2 linked regions of the Canis lupus familiaris genome follow. The protein of the gene in region 2 interacts with the protein of the main gene of each other region in a pairwise test. Links are inferred from orthologs where the notes say so. Each region holds a gene or a part of one and is shown on either strand. Other genes may lie near its edges.

Evidence for each region.
Region 1: the proteins of DHX15 (region 2) and RBM5 interact in binary tests that used the Homo sapiens proteins (3 or more experiments, as listed by UniProt). The link is inferred for Canis lupus familiaris from reciprocal best matches to the Homo sapiens genes DHX15 and RBM5.

The regions. Positions count from the first base shown.
Region 1 is NC_049241.1:39,622,160-39,625,659, forward strand, and holds part of RBM5 (RNA-binding protein 5), read right to left. Parts: intron 3,273-3,500; exon of another isoform or gene 3,073-3,272; coding exon 3,003-3,072; exon of another isoform or gene 2,517-3,002; coding exon 2,443-2,516; exon of another isoform or gene 2,397-2,442; intron 1-2,396. UniProt on the Homo sapiens protein: Component of the spliceosome A complex. Binds to ssRNA containing the consensus sequence 5'-AGGUAA-3'. Regulates alternative splicing of a number of mRNAs.
Region 2 is NC_049224.1:86,179,499-86,182,998, reverse strand, and holds part of DHX15 (pre-mRNA-splicing factor ATP-dependent RNA helicase DHX15), read right to left. Parts: intron 2,487-3,500; coding exon 2,268-2,486; intron 1-2,267.

The sequences.
Region 1 (3,500 bases), on a different chromosome or scaffold from region 2:
TCCATTTTCCCAGGGCAGAGCACACTTCGGAAAAATCAGTGCTCTGGAATTAAATGGACAACATACGGGGAAGACCAACCACCGCCACCTATACTCTGCCCATCCAATCCTTCAGATAGGCAGTAAGAGAATGGGATGCGGAGTAAAGGTAAACGGAGTCAGGGAGTGCTGAGAAAGCTGCCAAACTCTAACCGCTGACATGCACCAGGCCGTGTCTCCAGCAGAGACAGAAGTCCTAACATTCAGCATTGCCAGGCTGCCTGAGAGTGACAGTCTATTTCAAAAAGCAGAAGACACAATTCTCCCAGTTCTGAGATTGCCTCCTACTTTAGCCTCAGCATGGTGTCCTTGGGCTTCGCTTCACTTTTCCCCCAGTCCCCGTCCTTATGCAAAGTAAATCCTTTCTAGTTCCCCTTCCCCAAACTCTTGCTTCAGGATGTGTCCTCTGGGGGACAAAGGGAGGGGAGCTCAGGTTTTTTTGGGGGGAGCTCAAGTTTAAAGGGAATCTGGTTACAACTCTTTCTTTGGAGGGCCTATTCTGAATGCCATCGACTCTAAAGCAGCTAAATGAGATTTCTTCCTGCCAATTGAAACCATGTTATGTCCTAGGTGACAGATGTGTTTTTCCCTGAAATACATGGTACTCTCTTCAAGATGAGTAACCAGGAGGCCAATGAAGTTTCTTCTGGGGGGTCAGAAGAGTTCGTAAATGCATACACCACCTTACCCTTCAAGTCAACCACGTGACTAAAAGAGACACAACTTTAAAAGATCAAAACTCCAAGCTCAATCAGTCTAGCCAAGAGTATACCCAGCACCTGCCCCCAAAGAGCCTTCATTTAACAGGAGCACCTTTTCTTTTGCTTTTCATGGGGGGGAGGGGGATCAATGGGGGAGGGAGCAGGGTGTTCTGATACTATCAGAACAGATTTAAGTAAGAGGTTAGATATCCAGATTTTTAAAAGGAGTCTAACCCCTCTAAATATACATACTGTTGAGTAATTTGGTTCTTGAAAATCCTGGAAGAGTTAAGACATGCTGTGAATGTTGTCTCTGCAATATCTAAAGGCAAGACTGCATGTCTGGCCAAGAGGGAAAAAGCTGAAGGGCCATCCACTCACTTTATTGTACAGAAACAAAAATGAAGCTGGGAGATATGTCAACAGATCATCCCAGTAGGAGGGGTGTGTGCTGGGGGAGACTCCAAACTATCACTGAGTCCCTAATCCTATTGGTCTTATTTCTGGAGTGAATTTGAGCTGTAATGAAATATTACACGTGAACTTAGCTTTGTATACATTAAAATTGTGGAGATTTTTAAATGTCTTGTGAGTTTTAATTTCTTTGGAGTTTTAAACTCCCAGGCAAGCCATTCTGATACCTCCAATGCATCAAAAGATGCTGCTGTGTCAAGAGGGCAGACTCACATGAAGCTTGTGTATAGGTTCTCAATTTACTAACATGGTGTCCGTGGTAGGAAATGAATGAAACTCTATTTCTGTAAGATCAGGCTATCACCTCTGAGTTAAGAAAATGAGAGGTTTAAAAATCTAACAAATCATTCAATCAAAATGATATGCTCATTAGTGAGTCTTTGTTATAAACAGCAATACATACCGGAGTGTAACTTATTCGTGGGTGACAAATCATAAAATGTTGCAGAAAAGCAACATAATGAGTTAAACAAACTTCCCAGAACGCACTGGGTTAAGGCATTTAATACTGCACTTTGTGGAGTTCTGGCAAAAAATGTTATTTAAGTGCCAAGTACAGAATGTTATCTCGACAAACTGTGGAACACTTCAGTTAATGCTACATCAAAGAACCATCAATGATTTGCTTTGAACGGAATACAAAAGGCATTCTCAGGGAGATTAGAATGTTAATGCCACTTTAACTAGATTAGACAGCAGCAGGACACCAGCTTCCAGGCTAATCTCATCAGACTTATTGTTCATAAATTCCATGAGGTCCTTACATAGTCCTTGAAGACCCATATGAGCAGTTATGCCTCTTAGAGGCTTGTGGTCTCCAAGCAGAAAAATGGAATTACTTCAAAATGCCTGTAGCAGACTTCTACTGCATTCTTTTTGCTATTAAATCGAGAGTTGGATATTTTAAGATTACTCTCAACGGACACAATGAATAGGAACATCATCAGTAGGGGAAAAGAGAAGGTGTTTTGGTTATCACCAGACAGGTATTCAGTGATTAACAAACTCTGCCAGGCAGCCACGTTTAAAAGCAGAGCAAATTCTATAATGCAGTCCTTGCTGCTGTATTATTCTAATAATATCAATTTTAATATATACAAAGCTTTTCTTTTAAAAAAATCACTCCTTTGGAACAAACCACTCCTTCAACCTTTTTTGTTTTTTTGTTTTTAAATTGTACAGACTTGTTCCATTTTCATGAATATCTAGACTTGGTGAGTGAAGCAACCTGATTGGCTTCCATCCAGCTGGTAGCATCTTGCAAGTGATAAAACTCCACGAAGGCGAAACCACGGCTTACACCTAGAGACAGCATTCAGATATAGACGGGATACTCGTGTTAGTCAGTTCCTTTATAACAGGTGAATCTCTCTCCCACTGCTTCAACACTGCGTGACAAAGCCAATTGGGAAGCAGCTTTACAAATGTGACTTGACTTGGGGATCTTCTTGATACTTTGCCATGGCAAGGAACCAAGCCGCCTGAACTAAGTGCCACTCGATTTGATTCCACGCTTAAAAAGTAACCATGCAACCGACTACAAACAGTCAAACAAGGAGTTTATAAATCGCTACTTACCGAAGGAAAAAAGCCCCTAAAAACAAAGTTTTTAAAAAGGTCCTCAGGTGCTCTCTAATATCGTTTTCAAAGAGTCACATTCCTTAGCCATGGCAAACCTTTCATTCTGAATTCATGTGCTTGAAGATTGGGGGAATCAGGATGGTCTTTACGGGCTGAGGTGGGAATGGGGAAGAGAGCCAGAACAGCCGGAACTAAGCAAGCTCTCACCTGTTTTCCTCTTCATCAACCTCACGTCTGCTGGCTGAGGGCCTTCAAAGGACTCCATCATTTCTCGAATCTGTAGAGTTTTACACATTTATAGTTAAAGCTTCACCATAAACTATTCCACACCAAAGAAAGTTCAAGGACCAGGAACTGCAACAACTGCTTAATCAGCCAAATTTTAAACTTCTATCACCAAAATATAATCATTCTAAAAAGCAGAATAAAAAAAAAAAAAAAAAAAGAACATTTCTCATAGAAATGAATGTACTTTAACAGCCTTAAAAGCATTCTTTATATGCTGCCTGGGAACTTCCCTTAGATACAAGTATTTATGTTATGATAAACAGTCTTGCCTGGGTGCTTGGATGGCTCAGTTGGTTGAACATCTGACTCTTGATTTTGGTTCAGGTCATGATCTCAGGGTCAAGATTGAACTGTGTCAGGCTCTGCTCTTGGCAGGGAGTCTGCTTGGTCCCGTCCCCCCCCCCCCACTCCCCGGTC
Region 2 (3,500 bases):
AGGTTCTCACCATGAGATCATCTGATATTTCTGATAAAATTCTAATATGCTTAGTTATCTGAACATAATGGCTATTTTAAAAAGTCATTTAAGAAAATACACTACACAGCACTCTATATGAATCAAGAAACTAGAGACCAGGCACAAAAGGACAAGATGAATACCTCAAATGCCTAAGGCTGCATTATTGCATAAATACCATTTTTATGCCCTCAAAAAAGCATTTGGTACTCTTGCTTCTAAAATTTATAAAAATTCTTCCATTCAAAATGCATAAAAATAAAGACAGGTACCAACAGAGGGTTTATCTGTAAAAGTGAATTTGCAACACATTTTATTTCCCAAAAGAACAAGTATGATTTTGTACTGGGAATGATTTTCTACCCAGGGGACATGTGACAATGTTTCTGCAGACATTTTTGGTTGTTACAACTGGAGGAGAGAATGTTACCGCATGTAATGGGTAAAGACCAAAGATGCCACAATGCACAGGTTACCCCACAACAAAAAAAACTGATAGGCCAACCATGTAAATAGTGAAGTTGAAAAAACCTGCTCTACAGAAAAAGCATTGTGGCCAATGGGGGTACAAATCATAGATCATACAAATACTGAAGAAATGCAAGGACAAAGAAATGACGCAACATTTATAGCTCTTAAAACAACAGCCTTTGCTGGAATATTATGTGTATCAAGCATTCCTGTAGAAATTGAATACAAATAAAATAATTCACATTCCAATGGAGGTAGGCAGTCACAGAAGACCTGTGATTTTTGTATCTGGGAGAATTAGAGCAATTCCCCACAACACTGTTTACAGTTGTGTCATTAATGTACTACAGGAATTATACTGGTTTAAACATTCCTCTGGGACAATGACCTTTAAACCTAGGGAAATATAAAAATGGCCCACAGACCTCATTGAAGATGCAGATTCCTTTTTCGCCTCAGATTTCACCTATCTCAGCAAGTCTGGAACAGGACCAAGAACTTGCTTTTAACAAACTCTTCTACTCTTCTCTCCTAAGTAGACTGTCCAATGATCACACTTGAGAAAAATGTTCTGGGGCAGGGGTCAGACCTTTTCCTTTTACTGTAAAGGGCCAAAACAATTTAGGCTTTGAATGCACACATCATCTCTGTTGCACATTCTTTGCTCTTATTTACAACTGCTTAAAAATGTAAAAACAATTCTTAACTAGTGGGCCATACAAAAACTGAAACTGGAGGAAGGTTGGCACATGTAGCTATTTAAATTAAAATGCTATAAAATTAAAATGTATTCCCTCCTCTCACCAGCCACATTTCAAATCCTCAAAAGCCATACACTCCTGGTGAGTGACATACTGAACGGCAGACAGAACATGTTCAGCACCAACAAAAGGTCTGATGGAACAGCACTACCCCAAAACCTCACCACTCAACCCTGGAGAGCTTCAACATTACTTGGGAGCTTGTTAGGTAGACAGAATCTCAGGCTACACCTGACCTACTGAATCAGAATCAGTAAGTGGAAATTTTCTAAGTGGAACTGCATGTATGTTAGAAAAATACATTCTAGAAAGTTCATAAAGCCTACTGAAACAGAGGACAAGCTCTAAGAAAACCTCCAGTAAGAGGCTCTCTGAAATGGTCTTCTCCAGATAGCTTTTTCCTGAACTTTAGCTTGAGAATTTCATAGCACACCTATAAACCTACGGTGGAAAACAAGTTTTAAAAAATGCAGCACAAAAAAATAAAAAAAAAATCTACACCTGAGAATAAAACCTGTCAAAGTGAGGTAAATTCCAACTAAGAAATTTCACTGATTCCTTCTAATCTTCAGTGAACACATGAAGACAAAATCAAAACACAAACATTTGAAGCCACTCAACTTCACTCACAAGCTGACTAGGACAACATGATTTCACTGCAGCTGTGTGGTTCAAATTTATGCTTTAGCAAAGCTGCAAATTATCACACCACCACTTACCACTCAGGTATCTCCAAAGTTGAAAACTGCAATTGCTAAATCTTGAAATTCTAAAAGCACGTAACATTCTTAGGATAATTAACAAACACCAATTGTATAAAAGGGTATTCTTAGAGTACATATAAAAAGGGGTTATAATGCTTCATACATAAATACAGTCAAGTTGAGGAAAATCTTTAAACCTTGGGATAAGAAATACGTGGTTAATATATACCATGTTCTTAGATTTTAAAAGCTGTTGTATAATTTAACATGCTAAAGGCTAAATAATTAAGCAAATAATGACAATTAATACCTCTTGACCAGTTAAGAAAAGTAGAAGATCTCCTTCCTCCTCCTCACACATATGAATTTGGATCACTGTTCGAATGGCTGCTTCGAGATAATCTCTCTCTGGTTCAGGAGTATAAAAGATCTCAACAGGATGTGTACGTCCAGGAATAGTTAAGAGAGGACAGTTATCAAAGTAAATCTGGAATTTCCCTGCATCTAATGTAGCGCTCATAACTATAACCTGGGGGAAACAAAAAAACACAAAAGTTAATTATTTGAAGCAGTCTTCAAGGATTCTTACATGGTCCTAAGGAAAAAAAGACAAGTAATGTCTATGTTCTATATATATCTCAATTATTAAAAAACCTACAAAAATGATTAAAAAAATCAAATGCAGGGGCACCTGGGTGACTCAGATAAGCATCTAATTCTTGGGGCACCTGGGTGGCTCAGTAGTTGAGCATCTGCCTTTGGCTCAGGTTGTGATCCCAAGGTCCTGGGATTGAGTCCCACATTAGGCTCCTCACAGGAAGTCTGCTTCTCCCTCTGCCTATGTCTCGGCCTCTCTCTGTGGGTCTCTCATGAATAAATAAAATCTTCAAAAGTAAAAATAGTAATTTTTAAAAAGCATCCGACTCTTGATTTTAGCTCAGATCACGATCTCAAGATCCTAAGAGCAAGTCCCTCATCTCCTCCTCGGGCTAAGCAGGGAGTCTGCTTGAAGGTCTCCTTTCCCCTGTCCCTTGCCTTGCACACACTCCCTTTCTCTAAAATAATAAATAAATACATCTTAAAAAAAAATCAAATACAGAAATGCTGAACTATGATAAAAGAGTTACTGACATTTTTAAAAAATTAGAAATGAACACAGTATATAATAAGAAATAAATAACACCTGAAGGCCCAAAGTTCATAAACTGTTTTAACATATTTATGTTTACATAAGATTTATATAATATATAAAAGGGAAGGGTAAAAGACAACATAAATAAATAGCACAATTACTACTGTGTTTATTAAGACAGAACAGGACAACCTTACACACAGGAAAGAGCAGGAAATGCAAATAGAAAAAAAGAAAAACATCAGTGGCACAGATATAAATTTTCTCTTTTTCCAAATCACCTTTAATAAGAATGACTTCTTTAGAAAAATTGCTAAACAGGGATTTTCTACACTGTTGTAAAAAGCCAGTCACCAAAAGGCTGTTCCAAATACAGAGCGATGAAGACTGTACAGTCACCCTCTCTCCATG